Tribolium castaneum: one gene and its partners. The protein of the gene in region 1 binds, or shares a complex with, the protein of each later gene. Links are inferred from orthologs where the notes say so. Each region holds a gene or a part of one and is shown in the gene's direction. Other genes may lie near its edges. The genes, in order: Cpsf100, Cpsf4 and Cpsf73.

What was found.
Region 2: Cpsf100 (region 1) and Cpsf4 share a complex: the UniProt entries of both Drosophila melanogaster proteins name them as parts of the cleavage and polyadenylation specificity factor (CPSF) complex. The link is inferred for Tribolium castaneum from reciprocal best matches to the Drosophila melanogaster genes Cpsf100 and Clp.
Region 3: Cpsf100 (region 1) and Cpsf73 share a complex: the UniProt entries of both Drosophila melanogaster proteins name them as parts of the cleavage and polyadenylation specificity factor (CPSF) complex. The link is inferred for Tribolium castaneum from reciprocal best matches to the Drosophila melanogaster genes Cpsf100 and Cpsf73.

What each region holds. Positions count from the first base shown.
Region 1 is NC_087396.1:18,209,780-18,217,172, forward strand, and holds Cpsf100 (probable cleavage and polyadenylation specificity factor subunit 2), read left to right. Parts: upstream 1-290; 5' UTR 291-429; coding exon 430-578; intron 579-627; coding exon 628-893; intron 894-943; coding exon 944-1,189; intron 1,190-1,234; coding exon 1,235-1,646; intron 1,647-1,694; coding exon 1,695-1,850; intron 1,851-1,898; coding exon 1,899-2,170; intron 2,171-3,915; coding exon 3,916-4,338; intron 4,339-4,896; coding exon 4,897-5,174; 3' UTR 5,175-5,200; downstream 5,201-7,393. Other genes in the region: transcriptional regulator ATRX homolog, read right to left, coding at 1-17. UniProt on the Drosophila melanogaster protein: Component of the cleavage and polyadenylation specificity factor (CPSF) complex that plays a key role in pre-mRNA 3'-end formation, recognizing the AAUAAA signal sequence and interacting with poly(A) polymerase and other factors to bring about cleavage and poly(A) addition.
Region 2 is NC_087394.1:10,086,906-10,094,441, reverse strand, and holds Cpsf4 (cleavage and polyadenylation specific factor 4, 30kDa), read left to right. Parts: upstream 1-3,038; 5' UTR 3,039-3,096; coding exon 3,097-3,199; intron 3,200-3,248; coding exon 3,249-3,988; 3' UTR 3,989-4,070; downstream 4,071-7,536. UniProt on the Drosophila melanogaster protein: Component of the cleavage and polyadenylation specificity factor (CPSF) complex that plays a key role in pre-mRNA 3'-end formation, recognizing the AAUAAA signal sequence and interacting with poly(A) polymerase and other factors to bring about cleavage and poly(A) addition.
Region 3 is NC_087396.1:20,615,692-20,624,461, forward strand, and holds the start of Cpsf73 (cleavage and polyadenylation specificity factor 73), read left to right. Parts: upstream 1-4,318; 5' UTR 4,319-4,404; coding exon 4,405-4,475; intron 4,476-4,521; coding exon 4,522-4,585; intron 4,586-4,632; coding exon 4,633-4,730; intron 4,731-4,781; coding exon 4,782-4,910; intron 4,911-5,042; coding exon 5,043-5,220; intron 5,221-5,267; coding exon 5,268-5,357; intron 5,358-5,403; coding exon 5,404-5,730; intron 5,731-6,024; exon of another isoform or gene 6,025-6,168; coding exon of another isoform or gene 6,169-7,746; intron 7,747-7,799; exon of another isoform or gene 7,800-7,983; intron 7,984-8,453; exon of another isoform or gene 8,454-8,592; intron 8,593-8,640; exon of another isoform or gene 8,641-8,770. Other genes in the region: homer protein homolog 2, read left to right, coding at 2,124-2,308, 2,520-2,656, 2,916-3,101; cuticle protein 8, read right to left, coding at 330-473, 521-634, 685-810, 863-874; delta(24)-sterol reductase, read right to left, coding at 6,169-7,746. UniProt on the Drosophila melanogaster protein: Component of the cleavage and polyadenylation specificity factor (CPSF) complex that plays a key role in pre-mRNA 3'-end formation, recognizing the AAUAAA signal sequence and interacting with poly(A) polymerase and other factors to bring about cleavage and poly(A) addition.

The sequences.
Region 1 (7,393 bases):
CACGAACTTTCCATCATAATATACTTTTAGTAATAACTCAAATAACAATAATATTGGAAGAGCAAATGTAAGGTTATGAAGTCACTTCACTACATTTGAGTCAATTTTTTCATCAGTAACAATTTTTCACGCACGTTATCACTACACTACAGCCAAAAATCCTCTGATTTCATAACGTTTTGCAGAAAAAATTAATAACAAAAATAATCTGAAAACCACCCCTAAACTGTCACAAACTGTTTTGTTGTATTGGCAATCCTGTTGAAATTTTCTGTCGTCTGTCAGAAATGAGAAAGCAAATGTCCCTGTTGCACCACCAAAACTGTCCAAAATATGAGTTAATTTTGCACATTTGTGTATTAAATTAACTTCTGGTCACAAAACACCCAATATGCTCACCGTTTAATAAGTTGGGGCACACCACATAAAATGACTTCAATAATCAAACTGCAGGCCCTGTCGGGGGCAATGGACGAGTCGCCCCCTTGCTACATCCTGCAAGTCGACGAAGTGCGTATTTTACTGGACTGTGGATGGGACGAACATTTCGATATGGAAATTATCAAAGAAATGAGAAGGTGAACTTAACCTAAAAACGGGAACTTGATTTGACTGACTTTATTTAAGGCATGTTCACACGATTGACGCCGTCTTGATTTCGTACCCTGATGTGGCGCATTTGGGGGCTCTTCCATATTTAGTCGGAAAGTTGGGCTTGAATTGCCCTATTTATGCCACAATACCGGTCTATAAGATGGGGCAAATGTTTATGTATGACTTGTTTCAGTCTCATTATAATATGGAAGACTTTGATTTATTCACATTGGATGATGTGGACGCCACTTTTGAGAAAGTTATTCAGCTGAAGTATAATCAGAGTGTTCCATTAAAAGGTAGGTAACTTCCAAAAATTGTTATTTCGTAAAAGTTAATTGGGGAAAAGGCAAGGGGTATGGATTGACAATCACGCCCTTGCCTGCTGGGCACATGATTGGGGGCACAATTTGGAAAATAATGAAGGTTGGTGAAGAAGACATTATTTACGCTAATGATTTCAACCACAAAAAAGAGAGGCATTTGAACGGTTGTGAGTTAGAAAAGTTACAAAGGCCCTCTCTGTTCATCACTGATGCGTTTAATGCTACGTACCAACAAGCCAGGAGAAGGGCTCGGGACGAAAAACTAATGAGTAATAATGAGCGTTGAGTTGGAAAGTTGTTAATAATTTTTTTAGCCAACATTTTGCAAACTTTGAGGAACAACGGCAACGTTCTGGTCGCTGTGGACACAGCAGGCCGTGTTTTAGAACTGGCCCATATGTTGGACCAGCTTTGGAGAAACAAGGAATCAGGCCTTCTAGTCTATTCTCTAGCTCTGCTAAGCAATGTCAGTTACAACGTTGTAGAGTTTGCAAAGTCTCAAATTGAGTGGATGAGTGATAAACTGATGAGGAGTTTTGAAGGCGCGAGAAATAATCCTTTCCAGTTCAAACATCTGCAACTGTGTCACAGTTTACACGAACTACAGAAGGTTTCAAGTCCTAAAGTTGTTCTCGCGAGTTCGCCTGATATGGAGAGTGGGTTCTCTCGCGAGTTGTTTCTTCAGTGGTGCTCAAATCCTAATAATAGTATAATTATCACGACTAGGTTTGTAATTTATTTAATTTTTTTTTGTCGCTTAAAGTATGATTTAAGGACGTCTCCGGGGACATTAGCTCGAGATTTAGTCGATAATGGGGGCAATCGCCAAATCGATTTGGTTGTGAAAAGACGAGTCAAGTTAGAAGGTAGCGAACTTGAAGAGTACCAAAAGAGCCAAAGAGAAAAACGAGAGGAAAATTCCAGCAGGGAGTAAGTTTGAGTTAGGTGGGTTACACTGTCACTTAATCCCCCTTTTAGCGAGGAGTCGGATTCAGACGATGATATTGAAATGAGTGTCATATCAAAAGGGCGGCACGATATTGTCATAAAACAAGAAGGCAAGACCTCAGGTGGCTTTTTCAAAGTTACGAAAAAACAATATCCCATCTACCCTTTTCACGAAGAAAAAATCAAATGTGACGAATACGGCGAAATAATCAAACCGGAAGACTACAAGCTAGCTGATGTCGTCACAGAAACTGAAGATAATAAGGAAAATGTTGTGATCAAAAAAGAAGAAGAGGTCATTCGTGAGTATCATTTACGGGCAACTAAATATCAGAAGGCAAACAACTAACCAAACCTTTAGTGAGGTGGAGCAAAATTCAAATTCTCTGTTTCAAATTAATTTAATTAGTTCGCTGATTGATTAGAAAAAATGCATCATGTTCTTAATGAGCGGCGAAAAAAAATTTGCGTTCTGTTCTATATTTCTCAAAACGCTGCGAATACAGGGTTATATATACAAGAAAAATGTAAGAAAAAAAAAGTTGAAAGAATAAATAAAGAAACAATGACGTTTAAAGCAGCTTATTTTACTGGTAGGTGGATTTTGGGGGAACACTTTAAAGTAAATTAAATGTAATCAGTTGAAAATTGAGATGTGGCCTCGTGGACTACTTTATAGAAAACTGAATTTTCTACAACTTTGTTTTTTCCACTTTTTTATATCTTTATCAGTATTCTCAAAATAAAATTGTGGTAATTTTTAAAAAAATATATGTTTTGGTATTTTTTGCGTTATACTTAAATAAGAAAATACTATGGGAGTATCAATAGAGTATAGGGCAAATTGATAAAAAAAGTCTTTGCCTAACCATTTTCGAAATATTTTTTTTAAATTATGTTGGAGATAAAGAGTACGTCACTGATGTATACGTAAGTAGTATTAGCACAGTTGATGGAAACTTGGAGAGCATGATATTCATTTGATGACAATGTAACTCGATCACTGCAACAATGATCACTGTGTATTATCGATATTCATGATAAAAACGAGCACATTTTTTCCAATACAAGTAAACCCATGAGCGCCGTAAGTGAGCCTTACGAAATAAAAACTTAAATATGTACAGGTCGTCTCTACTTTTCGGTGAAAAGTTATGATAAAATTTCGTCGCCACTTTTACTTGGATAGCTGTGATAAAATTTTGTCGGTCAATTTAAGAATTACCCCGTATGTGGTATCTTAATATGGAGATTTTTTATTAATAAATTAATATGTCGTGTCGCATTCTAGTATCATAGAATTGTAGTTTGAATTTAAGGACCTATGATTTGAATTTAAGTTGGCAACATTAATTATTTTCTGTTCGTAATTTGTGGCAGAAACTGCCAATTTGGATAATTATTTTTACCCTTTATTTGTAGGCTTTCTTGGCAATAAATTTGTCATTGGAATCTTATCACACATACTTTTTTACAAAAAGTTAAAATTTGTGACAAATTTGACCATAAAAAGCGCTGTTGGCTTTTTTGCCTTGTTTGAAATCCAATTTTTTTAGCACTGTTACAAAATAAACTTATACTAAATTTATATAACATGAATAAACAAATCAAATAAAAATTTAATAGAAAACACATTTAAAAGGCGTTCGAGAAAAAAAGTGAATATAAAAAACGCGTGAGTAGTAAGGAAGCCTTTAAATAAGTTCAGTTTATAATTGTTTTTATAAAATCAATGTTGTTTTTCTGCAATTAAACTTTTGGTGAGAAATTATATAAGAGTCGTAAGACATAAATAAACATAACACTTTTTAGTGGAATTATAGAAATTCGCAGACTATATATTTTGTTGCTTTCCAAAAAATGGTATAGTTTTGTTTAAATAAAACTTAAAAATAAATGTCCGACTTGGTAACTTTCTGCGATAAACCCACGATTTATTTATTTACTTATTTCCGAAGAACGGCTTTAGGCATAGTCTTATCCTCACATAATAAATGTTGCCAACCTAATTTTAAAATCACAGGTCACTGATTGACAATATTTACAGCTGAGGTGGCTGAGACGCCGTCCAAGTGCATCGTACTTAGCAGGACTGTCCAGGTTAACTGTCAAGTGCAATATATTGACTTCGAAGGTCGCTCAGACGGGGAATCCCTCATGAAAATTTTGTCTCAGTTGAGGCCCAGAAGAGTTATAATCGTCCGAGGTTCGCCTGAGAGTACTAACACGATAAAAAATCACTGTCAGGAGAATCTCGATGCAAGAGTGTTTGCTCCAGTCAGGGGTGAAGTCGTGGATGCGACAACTGAGACTCATATTTATCAAGTGCGTCTGACTGATGCTCTGGTGTCTCAACTGAATTTCCAGAAGGCTAAAGATGCCGAAGTTGCGTGGCTTAACGCCCAGATTGTGGTCAGGGAAAGTCAGTTGGATGCGAGGAGGATGAATGTCGACAACGAACCAATGGAAGGTAAATTTTGTGGCAATGACGTAAATTATAGGGTCTGTTTATAAAAGAGAGGATCTCAGGTGGTTCTGGAATTGGAATTCGCCGCATTTAATTACTTTATTTCTATTAAATTTCTGATAAGTACCAATTTTTATCTACTCTACAACCATTGAAACAATTTTTTTTCATATACTAACATTGTTCGTTTTTTGTGGAAAGAAGCGGCAAACTTTTAATACCTACTACAATCCTATATTCATTTATAGACGGATTGTTTTTCAATAAGATTAGCTCTTTGAAAACTATAAAAACGCCAATGTCGCATTTTCTCTCAAAATTAGCTGTTATTATTATTAATATTCAAAAAAATAATAGTTCGTGTAATTTAAACTTTCAATGAGAGATCTAATCATTAATAACTATTTTATAATTTTATCATTCTTATTTAAAAAATATTTCGGTAAAATGTGACGTTGGGCTTTTTTATATTTTTGTTATAGGTAATATACGAGCTGTGGGTTTGGTCACTTCTTTCGACAGTTTCTCATTTAAAAAACTGGTTATTTTATCTTTTTGCAGTCGATGAGGAAGAGTCAAAAATATTGACTCTGGAGCCCTACGGCGACAACATCCCCCACGACACAGTATTCATCAACGAACTAAAACTTTCCGAATTCAAACAAATCCTGGCTAAAAGCAACATCAATTCAGAATTTTCAGGCGGAGTTTTGTGGTGCAGCAACGGCACTTTAGCCATCAGGAGGGTAGAAACAGGGAGAGTGATCCTCGAAGGTTGCATTTCGGAAGATTATTACAAAGTGAAAGAGCTTTTGTATGAGCAGTACGCAGTACTGTAGTGTTTTTCATAAATTTTCGTACCTTTTTGTTTTGTTTTTTTTTCCTTCTGATTCATCCCCTCCCCCACGCGGTGGCGTCAAGTGAGTTAAGAATATTAGACAACAATTACGCTATAAATTGCTTAGCAACCGCGCATCCGTCTTTGTCTTTCTTGCGAGATTGTCTAGCGCTATCACGTTTCAATCAAAACGTAAGAGTGATTAATGCAGGCACCATGTATAGATAGTCCTGGTGAACCAACTTCCCTTATTTTCCATTGTCGGGCGCAAACCAAAATGTGGAGCAAGTTGGAGCTTTTATTTTATCTGACAGATGGCACCAGCGTAGACTGGGACTGTCACAATGTTTACAAGAAAAAAGATACACGCATCACGTTGTTAAAAATACGACATTTATGAAGAACAATTAATACCTGAAGGATGCCCGCACCGAATGGTAGTGGAGTTTTTTTTCTGGAAAGCATTTATTCTGACTTCAATGTTTCGATGTCTTTCGCGGCCGAAAATGCATCGAACCGAAGTTTAGAACTATTCAGAAAATATTATTATTTCAGCGCGAAAAAAGCAGAAGTTGTTACAAGATGACTAACTTGGGTGCTGAGATAACATTTTTTAATTTCGCATCATTTTTTTATAAAAAACAAAGAAAATTTGTGAAATTGTGACAGTCCCAGTCTACCGTGCTGCCATCTATCAACTTGCTCCAGCGTTAGAATCAATTATAATAGCGAGTTGGTTTACCTGTCTGTCTCTATATCGTGAATGCAGGCAATAGTTGGTGATTTATGGCCGATTTAAGACTCCCGGCCGTCAATAACCCGTTTGTCAGTCGAACTTTTTGCTTTGGAAGCAGACAATGATTGAAAATTGTATGGAAAAGGGTCCCAAACAGGCTAATATTAGCACTAGAGTCGGCGTATGGGCCAATGGCGAGCCCGCGCTCCCCACCCTTACTCAATTCATTCAGTTATCTTTTCGCTGAGCATCATCGGCTATCTCTTTTTACTTGTGTACAGTAGATGATACAGAAAGTGTGGTGTTGCTGTGTTCTGTTTTGCTGTGAGTTTTCTCGTGTGAAAAGCGGGTGGAAATTGGCCTTTTGAAGGACACGGCGGTCCATTGATGCGAAAGTAAGTCGGGGGCGGTGGGGCCAGTGGAGGGGTGCCGGTGTGCCAAGTCGGGGGCTGAAGTGCGCTTTAAAGCATTGACAGCAGTCAGCATTTATATTTGCAAAGTGGCTCGAAATGCGACACTTTACCTGAAAAGACTTGCTTTCGTGTTGGAGAGGTGATAAGCGAGATATTCGGATTATCACCATGATAAGGTTGAGAGCTCGCCAAATGAAACACGGTTGAATTTGCGCCAAAATTATTGATTGTGTTGATCGATGGCGATTGTTGTCTTTATGACACCATAAAGCGTTTTTTCTTCGATGAAAACAATACTTTTATGGTTCACTTATCTTCATTGCTATAATAATTCAAATTCCAAAATCCAAACGAGTGAATAATTAGGTGGTACCAAAGTGCATATTAATATGCAATTAGTAAAGGCATGCCCAAATGCGATGCAATTGATTTGCTATTTAAATTATTCCTGATGTCAGATATTCAACAGGGGCCCTGAATAACTAGAGATAAAGGAGGCCTTCAATCGTGAACAAACTGCGAAACGTTGTACACCTGCATCTGAGATTGCTGGCTGTGAGGGTGCAATATGAGGAGGGTTGCAGGTTCACAAACCCATGAACCTTTCATAAAATGCGAATTTTAATCAGCCGGTGTGACACCATAAGAAAGTTTATTGTCAGCGTGTGAATACGAGAAAAATACAGTATTTTATACTTCAGAATGGCAAAGATTTAGTTGATAAGTAACTATGAATTAGTAATTATTAGGGTAATTATTAGATTTTTAATTATTTGCATTTGATTTTTTGCAAAGCTTATGAGTAACATTGTTGTATATTCGACAATGGATCAAATCTTTCTTAAAACTGTTTAGATTTACGATATCTAATTATACTGATTATGTATTTCCAGATGTTTTTTTCAATCATACCTTGCAAGGTAAATATCTTTTGTTGGCGGGTGAACCTTAAACCACTCTCGGTTAGCAGGTCTCATTGACAAAATGGTTGTTATTAAAAAAGTACTGAACCAATGTAGTACGCAGCCGATTTTATCGCTTTTATTGTAGAAAATATTTTTTTCTTTATAC
Region 2 (7,536 bases), on another chromosome or scaffold:
GTTTGTTATTTTGTATATATTAAGTTTAAGTTGAAATTACGAGCTTATAGCGGCTCATCTTCCTACTTTCAACAATATGATTATAACAATAAATTCAGTACAAGTCGCTTCTTATTTCTTGGACCTTTGTCCTGAAGTAGTTTTTCTTTTAGTCGTATTTAATTGACATGGACAGGTGTTGCAATTTTTTTATATAATTTTTTTTAAACAAAAGATGACATTTTAATGAAATCTAAAAAAATCAATATCATCTTTTCTTGGTATTGTCATTTCAACAGTTGTAAGATATATCGAAATGGTTAAAAAATGGGGCTCATTAACTCAATACTCAAAATACAAAAAGTGTAATCAAGTCGAGAATTGTGTATTTTTTTTATTTACCTGTTCGGGCATTTGAGCCAAAGCAAACTATTTTTAGCTATCTTAATAAAATTAATACTTATTTTTTCGACTGTATATTGTTAAGAAACATGATATACAATAGCAGAATAATTAATTAAATCGACTTCTGTTTTTGGACCTAAAGTGAGAAGCTTACATTGCCATTTATTCTCTAGTTAATCATGGAAGTGTCAGAAAAAACATAATTCTATGATAGCCTCTTTAATTTTATTTATCGAAAAAAATTAAAAAATATTTGTTATTTCCATTATAGTTCACTAAACCATCAAGACATTCAAGATAATGCTATCTAACGGTGGTGTTACTTGTTTTTCAGTTTTCTCGACATCAATTAAAAAAAAATAATCTGCGACAATTACAGTTATTTACTTGAAATAATTGTTTTTGTACCTAAATCTTTGTAAGCAATTTGTTTACAGCACGAGTGCACGGAGTGCTGCTTGAATTGAGAATGTGGGAAATAAGTAAATTACTAGTCAGATGCAAAATTTTTCGGATTTTGTAAGGAGTAACAATTTTTTCATGGTTTAGTTTTTTTATTTAACCAGTCGTTCATTAGAATATATAAACCCTTTATGTTAAATAGTTTTTCCATGGCCAATTACTCTTAAACCTTGTTTTTTCTTTTTAAATACGTATAATAAAAACATCGAATTGTTTTTTTATTTATAATTTATTATTTATATCTACATTATTATTTATATTATTTATATTATTTATATTATTTATTTATATTATTATATTATTATTTATATTTTTAAATTTAGAAAAAAATAAGCACATCATAAATGTCAGCCAACTAAAATTTCTATTATGTAATTACAGGTAAACAAATTATTAAAAAAATTACATTTTTAAATTTTTTATGAAAAAGTACCTCTGCAGTGTCTTTGTTTCAGATGTGTTTTTTATACAGGCTGCACAAAAAATGAAATCAGATTTTCTTTCAAGAACTTAATTTTTGTATATTTTTTGAATTTGTTTTCCTCAGCAAAGGTATCGATTGTTTTTTTTGTTTCCTACGGTGTCGAATGTAATATATCAAATTGGCAAGTTTTTGAATTGTTTTGTACATCATAAGACATTTGTAAATATGATCTGAAGCACCAAAAACGTAACCTTGAAGAGTTATATCTCGTGATAGAAGGCTCATAGGAACTTTTAATTCAGTTTGCTTCCTTTATCAGCTTCCGGGAGATTGTTCATCACTTTTGAATCACTCTGTGTAATAAGGAAGATATTTTTTTAGATTAAATTTCGCTAAAATGTCAACTTTTGATTAACTTTGTTGTTGTCGAAAGCAAATGATATAGCGGGATGTGGGTTTTGACCATAATTATTTTCTCGAATAACGAGCTTAAGAATGTGTTATTCGTTTTTTAAAGCCTTTTAGTTTTAACGATTTTTTATTTGAAAACCTAAAATGCACCTGTTCATCTTAGTAATAATAGTTGTTATTTTTTTATAATTGTCGTTATTCTCTATACATTAAACAATGTATTTTTATCAAAACAATCAATTTTCGGACCTTGTATACAACAAATGGCTCCTAGTGGTTTTTTATTTTTTAAATCATACTAACTGTTTCAAGACTATTGAAGTGCTAACGTCGCATTTTGTCTAAAAATTATTTGTTATGTTATTCATGCGCTTCAAAAAATTATTAGCTGATGTAATTTATTATTTCAACTATTTTACATTTTTGTAAACGTTATTTAGAAAAATAATTCGGTAAAGGGCGTCGTTGGCATTTTGAAACGCTAATTAGTCCATAATGAAATTTTAGGAAAACTGTTACACAAACTTGACAATAAGGCTTATTCCAAATCTGCGGCCTATTTTATAAAACTTTTTACAAGTGATTTACTTGTCACTTGTAAAAATCAACTTGTAGTTTTTATGAAACGGGCCCCTGGTGGCGAACTGACATTGCCAAAAATGACTGAATTTTAGCATTGAAGATAGATATGTTTAATTAAAAAAAAAATGCCCACAGGCGTCACAATAAAAAGATAAGAATATTGAACAATATAATAATAGTAATATTTCTATGTATCTTCGTCCTCAAAATTTATGTTAAAGTAAATAAGTAAATTTTAGAGAAAAAAATGCACCCCCTTTATTTCATTCTTTTAATGAAGTGGGTGCATTTCAAGAGTTTTTTTTTATATCACTGCCAGTTCGCCACCAGATATGGAACAACCTTTACCCAGAACAATGCAATTGTGGATTAAATTTGTTTTTTTTTTTGACAATTTAGTGGTCAACTGGAACCAGTATTATCCTAGTATTACTAGTTGCATCAAAAAATCTTCAGAAATAAGCCACAATTGACTCGCAATGTATATTTACACTTAATTTTGAGTTTCGCAAATAAATTTTTTTTGGTAATTTTTAGATAGGCAACACACTATACGGACTGCCTATCAACGGATCATCTAATTTTTTACTTTCCTTATTTAAAGCCGTTCCTTATTATATTATTGTATCGTTTTCCAGAGATTGGAACACGGTAAACTTGCTAAGTTTTTTTTTGAATTTGAAATTTTTTACACTAAACCAGAGCTGCCAATCTAGACCAACTGGTGGCAGGCTATGGTGGCAGGACTACATGTCAAATAGTTGATTTTGTTGTGGTTAAAATAAAAGGTGTTGCGTTTTCATTTTTTGTAATATTAAACTACAAATATCGAAATGGAGTGCATTGTGGCCAACGTGGACCACATAAAATTCGACATTGAAGTGGCTCTAGATGAGCAATTCGGCGCTTTGCCCTTACCATTTCCCGGAATGGACAGTAAGTGAGGTTATGTCGAAAATATAATTTTCTCGTTTTTTGCTTTCAGAATCAATTGCAGCCGTTTGTCAGTTTTACACTTCAATACAAGGCTGTCAAAAGGGCCCCCAATGTCCGTTTCGTCACGTGCGAGGCGACCGAACCATTGTGTGCAAACACTGGCTGAGAGGTCTTTGCAAGAAAGGCGACCAGTGCGAGTTTTTACACGAGTATGACATGACAAAAATGCCCGAGTGTTACTTCTATTCGAGATTTAACGCTTGTCACAATAAAGAGTGTCCGTTTTTACACATAGACCCTGAGAGTAAAATCAAGGATTGTCCTTGGTATGACCGTGGGTTTTGTCGACATGGGCCCCACTGTCGTCACAGACACGTGCGCAGGGTTTTGTGTACGAATTACTTGGCAGGCTTTTGCCCCGAAGGGCCAAACTGCAAGTATATGCACCCAAGGTTTGAGTTGCCTGCGCCCCCTGATCAGGTGCAGAAGGACAAGAAAGCCACTCCTGTTATTATTTGTCACTTTTGTAACGAACATGGACACAAGGCGATACATTGTAATAAGATGAATAGTGATAACAGAGACGCCTTAAATGACGAGAATCGAAAACAGAATGATCATTATGAGCCTCAGAACTCTTATTTGCAGAAAATGTTGCCTAAGAAGCTGGAAGATGTTACTTGTTACAAGTGTGGTACAAAGGGACACTACGCAAATCGGTGCCCTAAAGGGCACTTGGCGTTTTTGTCACAGGCCAAGAGCAATCAGGATGGACAAGGTGATCAATAAGAGTGGTGATCGTTTTTAAATAATATTTAAAGTTATTCAAACTATTGTATTTATTCTATAGGAAAATAAACAACAATTTTTACGAGTAGATTTATTTCGCCTTTTTCCAAAAATTAATCTAATTATTTTTCTTAGGTTACAGGCGTAGTTTTTTAGGTACATTATACCATTGTTTGTGAGGTGAGATAAAGCTGTTAGAGTTGTTCTCACAAGTGAGTAAATCTAGAGAAAATTGGAGAAAACAATGAGTCTGTTCATTTCATCACTACGAAAACTGATGCTAATGTTACAGGCGGATATTTACTTGAATTTTTTGGATTTTTTTCTAATGCACGTGTAAGATAAAACGTCGTATATCACACGTGATCGAAATACCGTTTTAAAGCTCGTGGGACACTCCCACTCGAGCACAAGCGCACTCGTGTGTCAAATTCTCACTTACATATAATGATCCATTTCTATCTCTTATAATATAATATACTATTATCTTACAGGAGCAGTTTTTTAGGTACATTATACCATTAAACTTGGTGAGAGAAATGAAATTTCTCTCATTGAACATTTTCTCGTCCTCAGAGTAGATTAACTGTCCTAAAGTTTTATTTAAAGCGTTATAAAACAAAAAAGGAGGCAACGGCACGCGGTGTTCCCAAGCGGTCACCCATCCAAGTACTAACCGCGCCCGACGCTGCTTAACTTCAGTGATCAGACGAGAACTGGTGTATTCAGCGTGGTATGGACGTTGCCTGAACGTTTTCTCGTCCTCAGAGTAGATTAGCTGTCCTAAAAGTTTTATTTAAGACGTTACAAAACAAAAAAGGAGGCAACGGCACGCGGTGTTCCCAAGCGGTCACCCATCCAAGTACTAACCGCGCCCGACGCTGCTTAACTTCAGTGATCAGACGAGAACTGGTGTATTCAGCGTGGTATGGACGTTGCCTGAACGTTTTCTCGTCCTCAGAGTAGATTAGCTGTCCTAAAAGTTTTATTTAAGACGTTACAAAACAAAAAAGGAGGCAACGGCACGCGGTGTTCCCAAGCGGTCACCCATCCAAGTACTAACCGCGCCCGACGCTGCTTAACTTCAGTGATCAGACGAGAACTGGTGTATTCAGCGTGGTATGGACGTTGCCTGAACGTTTTCTCGTCCTCAGAGTAGATTAGCTGTCCTAAAAGTTTTATTTAAGACGTTACAAAACAAAAAAGGAGGCAACGGCACGCGGTGTTCCCAAGCGGTCACCCATCCAAGTACTAACCGCGCCCGACGCTGCTTAACTTCAGTGATCAGACGAGAACTGGTGTATTCAGCGTGGTATGGACGTTGCCTGAAAATTTTCTCGGCCTCACAGGAGATTAACTGTCCTAAAAGTTTTATTTAAGGCGTTACAAACCAAAAAAGGAGGCAACGGCACGCGGTGTTCCCAAGCGGTCACCCATCCAAGTACTAACCGCGCCCGACGCTGCTTAACTTCAGTGATCAGACGAGAACTGGTGTATTCAGCGTGGTATGGACGTTGCCTGAACGTTTTCTCGTCCTCAGAGTAGATTAACTGTTCTAAAAGTTTTATTTAAGGCGTTATAAAACAAAAAAGGAGGCAACGGCACGCGGTGTTCCCAAGCGGTCACCCATCCAAGTACTAACCGCGCCCGACGCTGCTTAACTTCAGTGATCAGACGAGAACTGGTGTATTCAGCGTGGTATGGACGTTGCCTGAAAATTTTCTCGGCCTCACAGGAGATTAACTGTCCTAAAAGTTTTATTTAAGGCGTTACAAACCAAAAAAGGAGGCAACGGCACGCGGTGTTCCCAAGCGGTCACCCATCCAAGTACTAACCGCGCCCGACGCTGCTTAACTTCAGTGATCAGACGAGAACTGGTGTATTCAGCGTGGTATGGACGTTGCCTGAACGTTTTCTCGTCCTCAGAGTAGATTAACTGTTCTAAAAGTTTTATTTAAGGCGTTATAAAACAAAAAAGGAGGCAACGGCACGCGGTGTTCCCAAGCGGTCACCCATCCAAGTACTAACCGCGCCCGACGCTGCTTAACTTCAGTGATCAGACGAGAACTGGTGTATTCAGCGTGGTATGGACGTTGCCTGAACGTTTTTTCGTCCTCAGAGTAGATTAACTGTTCTAAAAGTTTTATTTAAGGCGTTATAAAACAAAAAAGGAGGCAACGGCACGCGGTGTTCCCAAGCGGTCACCCATCCAAGTACTAACCGCGCCCGACGCTGCTTAACTTCAGTGATCAGACGAGAACTGGTGTATTCAGCGTGGTATGGACGTTGCCTGAACGTTTTCTCGTCCTCAGAGTAGATTAGCTGTCCTAAAAGTTTTATTTAAGGCGTTATAAAACAAAAAAGGAGGCAACGGCACGCGGTGTTCCCAAGCGGTCACCCATCCAAGTACTAACCGCGCCCGACGCTGCTTAACTTCAGTGATCAGACGAGAACTGGTGTATTCAGCGTGGTATGGACGTTGCCTGAAAATTTTCTCGGCCTCAGAGGAGATTAACTGTTCTAAAAGTTTTATTTAAGGCGTTATAAAACAAAAAAGGAGGCAACGGCACGCGGTGTTCCCAAGCGGTCACCCATCCAAGTACTAACCGCGCCCGACGCTGCTTAACTTCAGTGATCAGACGAGAACTGGTGTATTCAGCGTGGTATGGACGTTGCCTGAACGTTTTCTCGTCCTCAGAGTAGATTAGCTGTCCTAAAAGTTTTATTTAAGGCGTTATAAAACAAAAAAGGAGGCAACGGCACGCGGTGTTCCCAAGCGGTCACCCATCCAAGTACTAACCGCGCCCGACGCTGCTTAACTTCAGTGATCAGACGAGAACTGGTGTATTCAGCGTGGTATGGACGTTGCCTGAACGTTTTCTCGTCCTCAGAGTAGATTAACTGTTCTAAAAGTTTTATTTAAGGCGTTATAAAACAAAAAAGGAGGCAACGGCACGCGGTGTTCCCAAGCGGTCACCCATCCAAGTACTAACCGCGCCCGACGCTGCTTAACTTCAGTGATCAGACGAGAACTGGTGTATTCAGCGTGGTATGGACGTTGCCTGAAAATTTTCTCGGCCTCAGAGTAGATTAACTGTTCTAAAAGTTTTATTTAAGGCGTTATAAAACAAAAAAGGAGGCAACGGCACGCGGTGTTCCCAAGCGGTCACCCATCCAAGTACTAACCGCGCCCGACGCTGCTTAACTTCAGTGATCAGACGAGAACTGGTGTATTCAGCGTGGTATGGACGTTGCCTGAACGTTTTCTCGTCCTCAGAGTAGATTAACTGTTCTAAAAGTTTTATTTAAGGCGTTATAAAACAAAAAAGGAGGCAACGGCACGCGGTGTTCCCAAGCGGTCACCCATCCAAGTACTAACCGCGCCCGACGCTGCTTAACTTCAGTGATCAGACGAGAACTGGTGTATTCAGCGTGGTATGGACGTTGCCTGAACGTTTTCTCGTCCTCAGAGTAGATTAACTGTTCTAAAAGTTTTATTTAAGGCGTTATAAAACAAAAAAGGAGGCAACGGCACGCGGTGTTCCCAA
Region 3 (8,770 bases), about 2.4 Mb from region 1:
TGTTTTGACTTCTTTTTAAAAATGTTACAGTACAACTATTAAAATTCACTTTGTACTCAGTATAGTGTCGTGGAGAATTATGTTTTTTTGTTTCGTGTTTCATAGTTTTTTTATTTGTTCTTGTATAGCATTTTTTATCAAGAAATCCTGAGCTGATCTACAGGGTGACTCAAGAATGTCGGACCAACTTTCGAACGGTGGTCAAGGTTTCTAGATATCAATAAGACAAAGTTTGCCGTTTTTGTTCACACAAAACCAGTCAATTTCATAACAAATTTATTAAATTTAGAGTACAAAAACTTGAGGTAAAAAAAGTATCACAAAACAAATTAATAGTGTCCGCCATAGCCGCCCCCGATGTGTCCAATTTGTTGGTGCTGGTGGTGTGGTTCGCCAATTTTGTGCACAACGGCGTTAAATCCACTATGTTTATCGGCTTTATATTCCACAACACGAGTAGTGCCATCAGCCTCCTAAAAACCGTCGATTATTTATGTCAACAAGCGCACTTTTTTGCAACCTTCAAAGTGTAAGTCCCTTTAACTTGGTCACCATCACGTTCTTCGTGGTGTTGTTTCTCATCGCCGGTGTGAGGGTCATGCACAGCGTAGTTGAATTGGTATTTAGGGTGTTCCTAATTTACCAATAAATAAGTCACTCGGGAAACCTGTCTCATTTACTTACGTGATGGTGTTCCTCGTGATGGCCCCCATACTCGATCTCGCCCCCTTCTATGTGGCCCCCGTAACCCTCCAATTCACCCAAATAACCGGCGTAAGCCGCCAGGAAAAGGGTAGCGATGACGAACACCTTAAAAACAAGGATTAGTCACTGGCTTAGTTAGCACTGTACATAATTTTACTTGATTGAACATTTTTGGTGATGTTTGTTGATGAACTGATGTCGATGTGTGGTTGCGTTTGGTTTTTATAGCTGCCTCCACACCAGAGCCTCCCTTCAGTCTTCCTCACTTTCTCTGACGTTGTTGCATCGGTTCGGTTTTTCGTCCGTTGCGAAAAAACGTTGCTGATTTGCCTTGTTGCATTCGAGACGCAATAAATTATAGGTTCGCATATCGTCAGAAAAAGTGAAACTGTTACGCTTTTTTGATCGATAAGCACACATAAATTACACAGTCCGTCAGAGGCCTGTGCCATTTTTGAATTTTTAAACCAACGAAAAAGTAAAGTGACTAAAAACTTACATTGATCTTAATATGGAGTAACTATTCTATAAAACATTCTGAAGTTGTGATTGATGGAAAAATTACTAAAAATTCGGCAAACATGTGCCGGGTTTTTCAATTTTTTGCTTAAAATAACGTTTTTCGTGTTTGGCAAGATGCAGATTATCGGGAACCTATCTTTGATCTTGCAACAATTTGCACAACGTTCACGAAAGTGTAAATAAAACGTGAATAAACTAATGAATGTAATTGGGTTTTGTAAAGAAATTGTGCGTGAATAATTAAATTCAGAGCTAATATACACATACTCGCTTTAATTGCAATTATGAAAACAAAAAACAATACTTCTGTTGAACCGTTCTTTGCTACGATTTTTTCATTACGCCGAATATTTGCAATTTCGGTATTAAATAACAATAAAGAATGCAATTAGGGTCTTTGTGCATTAATATCCATACATTTGCGTTTTTTATTGAATTTTTATGCTAAAGAAAGCCGTACTTTGCAAATTCATGAAATGGTACATTAATTTATATAATAAAAATAATAGGTTTTTATTAAACGAGAACATTGACAGGAGCCCAGTTACGGACGGAAAAAATATGCGTTCTGCTTCACCAAGCGCCGTTACGTAATTGTTTATTAATTCGATATTAAGGGGAACATTAATTTTCGCAGTGCATTTCCTAAATTCGATGAAAATTGCATTTTCCTTCCGGTTGGCAAAGAAGCGATAAAATCTCGAGTTTTTCGCCTGGGGATAAGGATGTGAAGTTGTTGCTTAATTGTTTCCAGTTTCACTAATAATGTTCTAATAAATATTACGTGATTGTTATTATTTCCGCCCCATTTAGCAAACTAAATATGGGAAGAGTTATGAAATTGGATTAGTAGTGCTAATATTTAGTAAAACGTTTTGTCTGATTGATGGTTTCAGTTCGGCCAATGCTAAAAAATGGGAAATCGAGTTGGCCACGTTAAAGAGCAACAATGCAAGACTAACAAGTGCACTTCAAGAAAGCACGGCAAACGTCGATGAGTGGAAACGACAATTGGCAAGTCTTAAGGAAGAAAATATGCGAATGAAAGCGAAGTATCAAGCAGATTTGGAAAATAGTAAAGGTGAGTTGGCTGTCAATTGTTTATTCAAATCGGTGTAATAATTGCATAAGAATCGGTGCTTAAAGTCGGCAACATATGGCAAATTGCATTTCTGCAATATGGTAAATGGGAAAGCAATCAAATGATAATAATTATTGCATCTAGTTTATTTGACACGCGGTTTCGTTTTCTCCCACAACTAGAACAATTGAGAGTTTTGTTTATTGATCAGGTGGCGGCGACATTGCCGATGAACTGCGCCAAGAAATTCAAAGTCTGCGAATTCGCCTCGAACAGATGGAGGCCGAGCTGGACGCCAAAAATAGCGAATTCAAGCAGTTGGCTTTCCAGAAACCGTCGGATATTCAGGTAAAGTCAAAAATTTGGAAAAAATAAAAATTTAGTTTTTCTTGCATTCTACGCTCATATCTTAAAAATTTGGGGTAACTTTAAAGCATCGAAATGAAGCGAGTTAGAAACTTTCGTTTGTCACATATTTTTTTCTTTTGGGCAACTAGAAGTATTTGTAGTATTTCTCAAATTTGCTTTTCAATTTTCCCGTACACAAAAAAATGATCTGTTACTTTGTGAAAAAAAAATTCTTTGAAAAACTGTGATTTTCCCGCAGGCGTTGCAGAAGGAAAACCAGGAGCTCCAGGCGACGGCAAAATTGGCCCAATCCGAGCTGGACATCGCTCTCAGCGCCCACGAATCTCAGCGCCAAATCCTCCTCACGCTGAATTCGCAGCTGGCGTCGCGAGTACAAGAACTAGCAACGATCCACGACGAAATCACCACGGCTTTGCAGACGTGAGAGCTTGAAGACAGATAGCATCGTAATGTACGCGAACGCATTTATATTGCATATGTATAGGGTCCGTGTAATATCTTGCTTAGGTCTATAACTATGAATGTCTCGAAAAATATAATATTCATAACGTACGTACTATCGGTTATAAACTTTATACTTTATTTATTTACAAAGTGCCACCGCACAATTTATTAGGTTGTCTAATGTCCATGCATTTATTGAAATTGTGATGTGTCCGGACTCGCGTCCAAAGGCCAAAACGAACAAAAGTTATTTTATTCTGCAGCTTCCTTGATTAAAGTGGCGCCGTCTATTTTTTTTCCTTTCTTTCCTTCACGGATTAAGGAAGCTGTTTTATTCAGCTGCGATTTTTGGTTGTGTAAATGCCATTTAATTGTAGGATTTTCAAGTATCAAAGCGTTTTATACGTAACAATGCGTACTGTCGTGCAGCTTTCAGTATTTTGTTAATAGTTGCAGAATTAACATATCATGGGTTTTGTGTTTTATTATTGTGATGCGTTAATTTTGTTACTATTACCGAGCGCACATTTATTTTAGGTTTCATTTCATCATCGAGATTGACTGATTATTTATTTTACGTTATCATTTGAATCAAAATAAGTCCTCATAAAAACGTAGCGAATTACTTTATGTTGCCATTGTGAAATAGGGTTCTTCGTAGCCAAACACTAAGCTGACAATGCACACGTATTATTACAAGATTTTTTGTTTATTTATATTTTATTTGGTTGAAAAAGAATTGCTTGAGAGACGTTTAGCGCGTTGTTATAATTATATAGAAGAAATGTCTTTCAAGCACGTTTTTAACGTGACTTTCAAAGCAACAATAACGATAATAATGGAAATTTCTCAATACTGTACCATTAGAAGTCAGTGCTATAAACATATTGCACTTGTACTATAGGCGGAGATTTGTTCTAATAATAGGATGAGCTGATTATTATTATGTTGAGATTGTTATAATGAAGCAAAACTGTTTCCAATTTTTTATTTCTGTATAATGCAAGACCAAAATGTATTAGGCGATTTTGTTTGTAGAAATAGATGATTATTAAAAAAGTGACTTTTTGTGTGAAACCCCCAAAACACCCAGAATTCAGGCACATTTTAGGTGTGTATGATAAGGTCTAAGGGAGACAGCAAGGTGGAAAAACGTGTTGATTTGAATTTAAATTTTGTACCAACCTCAAAACCTAAAATTCCCCCGATTTCGAAAGTGATTTTTTTAGGTTATGTGTATCATGAAAGCTGCATAAAAAATAAAGTTTTTGGCTTTGGAAATCATGTCCAATAAACGCAAACCCGATTCCCAAGTCCCAGCCGAAGAAAGCGACCTTTTGACCATTAGGCCACTGTAATTATTCCAAAAATTACAATTTTGTGTTAACACTGTCTTGTAGGGGTGCCGGTCAGGAAGTGGGACGGTCTTGCATAATGCTTGAATTTAAAGGGAAAAAAATTATGGTCAGTTTGATCGATTTTTATTCGTTTATAAGACTTTAAACTTGTAGCTTGATTGTGGAATCCATCCTGGGCTCTCAGGCATGGATGCGTTGCCTTTCGTTGATTTAATTGAAGCCGACGAAATCGATTTGTTGCTAATATCACAGTACGAAACATTTTTTTTTCGTACATTAATAACTGTAACGTGAAATTCCAGTTTTCACCTGGACCATTGTGGGGCTTTGCCCTGGTTTTTGCAAAAAACGAGTTTCAAGGGTCGCTGCTTTATGACCCACGCCACCAAGGCGATTTATCGGTGGTTATTGTCAGATTATGTGAAAGTCAGGTAAATTGTGACTTAATAAGGGCGAAAAAAATTTCTGGTAGTTCTCCGTAATTATTATTAAAAAAAAATAAGATTTATGTTTTTAAACTGGCCCTTGACCTACTTTGATCGGAAATGTGTTCGAATTTGCAGCAACATTGCAACCGAACAGATGCTCTACACTGAGGCGGACTTGGAGGCTAGTATGGACAAAATCGAGACAATAAATTTCCACGAAGAGAAAGACGTTTTGGGGATCAAATTCTGGGCTTACAATGCGGGACATGTCTTGGGCGCCGCTATGTTTATGATTGAGATAGCTGGCGTTAAAGTACGACACTTAAATTTCAAACAACTTTATTGAAAATTTCGTTTTAGATTTTATACACTGGCGATTTTTCGCGTCAGGAAGACCGTCATTTAATGGCTGCGGAGATTCCAACAGTTCACCCTGATGTTCTAATTACAGTACGACTTAAATTTTGACTAACATTTATTCAAAAAAATATTACAGGAATCTACCTACGGTACCCACATTCACGAAAAACGCGAAGAACGTGAAAGTCGTTTTACGAATCTAGTTCACGATATTGTTAACAGAGGCGGTCGCTGTTTGATCCCCGTTTTTGCATTAGGACGGGCACAGGAGTTGCTTCTAATTTTGGATGAGTATTGGAGCCAACATCCAGATTTACACGATATTCCCATCTATTATGCTTCCTCATTGGCTAAGAAATGTATGGCTGTGTACCAGACTTACATCAACGCCATGAACGACAAAATTAAGCGACAAATCGCAATAAACAACCCGTTCGTGTTCAAGCACATCTCGAATTTGAAGGTGAGTTTTTGTAGCTGTGAGTATAGAAAATTTTATTACCAAGTTGGCAATGAGAACCATAACTTGAGTAGACTATAATTAATGCAATGATCACTGAGCTAATAATCGTATTATGAATAATTCGTAAATTCTGTCTGCGTTTTTTATCAAATTGTTATAAAAAACGAATGCATAAACGTACAAAAAAATGTAGTTTATTTTTACGGACTTGAAACTTATCAAGACATCGTGTGAGTGTAATAAAATTAATAAAATCGGTTCGGTGCGGTTATAACTTATCCAGTACGCTTGGAATATGGAAAAAATAATTTATTACGTAATAGAATATATTATTTCAGTAAAATATGCATAAAAAAATAAAAACTGGATTAACAAATAGTTATGAATACGCAACCAATAATACATTTTTAATCGTAGAAAAATACTTGTATGCCATTTTCACTTGATTTCGAATCGTTGCCCCACTTCGAACACATCGATTTCCGGCTTGACCTTATCGTAAAGATGTGGGAACGACCCCTCGGCCCCATACTTCCTCCGCACTTTCTCATACAACGTCAAGTCAAACATTTCCTCAAACTCTTCCCTAGTCATGAAAATATCGGCATACAAGAACGAAAAACCCCCAATATCACGCGTAAACTTCTCCATCTCCCTCATCGCATAAACAGGATTATACCGCTCCTTGCGTTTCACATACCCAGGCACCCCATAAATCCCCAAATCGTTGTACATTGCATAATCGGTCCCCTCAACGATATACTCCTTCCGGGGCGCTTTCAACTGACCGGAAGCCGGTCCTCTGTCATAAACCCGACATGGGTAGACCAGAAGTGGATAGGCGTCGAAAAGTTCGTCCGATTTATCGATTTGATCCTCAAGTTTGCGAATTGGTAGGACAATGTCTTGGAACACTTGTCTTGTGAAAGTGTAAACTCGTACGCCGGGGGTTGTCGTGAATTTGAGGAATGCTGGCTTTGGGGGCAACAACCAGCCGAAGAATAGGCGGAAAAGGGGGTTGTTGCCGAAGGGGATCATTGATTCAACGACCCAGAAAATGGCCCGGTTGTGGCGCAGTAAATACTCCCGTAAAGGGATCAACTCTGTGTGTTTGCCTTTTTTGAGGAATGTTTCCACGTATTTGTAAAACCACGGTTTGTACCAGCGATTTACGTGGTTTATCGGCAGGTTTGGGTCATAGTCGGAGTAAGACCCTGTCATTATTACGGCCCTTTCAGGGCTATAAATAGTCGCTTCCACGTAATCTTCAGTGGGATAATCGCCACTATCGCCTGACAATAACCTGATCATATCACAGTAGTTTTTCTTCCCTTCGACCGGAATATAATTCATTTTGATAAAGGGCTTGACTTTCACAAGTCTCAAGGTTAAGGCTACAAGAAACCCCAGACTGCCGTGTGACCACGGCAGGGTTTTATAAAGATCAGCGTTTTCGTTCTTCGCAGCCCTGACAAGACTCCCATCGTGCAAAACCACCTCGTACGAAACCACCGTTTCGTGGTACAGCCCCACTTTGTGTGAGTGCGTCGTCATGCCGGTGCCCAGCGCGAGCCCCCCGAGCGTGGCGTCGGCAATTTCAAGTGTCACAGCTAGGGTGAACCCCCGCGGAATTAAAAATTGCGTGATTTCGCCCACAGTGACCATGGGTTCGACCCGCACGGTCAGATTGTGTTCATCCAATTGCAGAATGTCGAACAGATCGACGTTGATTTTGTGGCACAGGTCTTTGCGGTAGAAGGTGGTGGAGAGGCTTAGCCAGTTGGGGCGCGCTGTACATAGAAGTTTTCGTTCGTCTTTGGGGATTTTGTTCCATTGTTGGATTTGTTTCTGGATCGCGCGGACGCGCGAATCGTGGTTTGTGGGGCTGCTGAAGAAAAACCGGTGGAGGGTTTTGCGGATTGTTAGGAAGAGGTTGAAAATGTAGCTGGCGGGGAGGCAGAAGAAGAGGACGACGAGGCCTCGGTGGGTTTCGAGGAATTCGACGAGGCGGCCCATCTGGAAATAAATAATTTTGCAAAATTGAGGGAAAAAACAGTTTCTAACCTCACTTTTGGAAGAGTTGATTAACTCTGTTGCGATGTGGTTTATCGGTATTTACAACACTTGAGACGATTGATAATTTATTTATAAATTGATTAAAAAATTGACCTTTCACCTTTTGTCGTTTGCATTTGAATTAATCGCATGTTTGTTTGTTTTCTTATGTGGGTGGAAAGTTATGAAATATCTCCTTTACTTTCTTTACATAGCACGAGGGCACGAGCGACTAATTCTCGCTTGTATTTAGATATTTTTGTAAATTTTTGAGCAAATTATGTAATAACTACACTGTTCTTACATATTTTTATTTATTTTTACAGTACAGTGCAATATCTACAACATTTTTTGTGTGTATGTCTTCGAATTAAAATAACTTTTTTTAATAAATTGGGTAAACAGTCGAAATACTTTCGTGTTCTCATTAAAAAATATACACAACGTTTAATATCTATAACTGTACAAGGCCTCCGCCTAATGTACGCAACCAAATATACAAAAGTCACAAAAGACTAGATAAAAAATACTTGTTTAATTTTTGGAGACCCATGACAGTAGTTGTCAGAAATGTCAGACTGTTACATTAATAGACGTAAATTTTGAATTTTTTGTAAAGTTTAATTTTTGGAGACCCATGACAGTAGTTGTCAGAAATGTCAGACTGTTACATTAATAGACGTAAATTTTGAATTTTTTGTAAAGTTTATTGTTAATTTAATGTTTTATTAAAACCGTTGTACTATAGAAAGATTAGATATGAAACTGAACTAATATAATAACGTAAGTGGTTATGGCAGCTATCATCTGAAACGAACAAGCGATAGCACTGAAAAAAATTTCCACAAATCTTACAGTGTGGCAAAAACTCCAATCCAGTCGAAAAAAATTTCTTGCCCTAAATTCCAGTTTATTGTTCAGAAAACGAATCGAAACTAGCTGAAGATGTCGCAGCTTTTTAGTCATATTTCCATTCGCTTCAAAC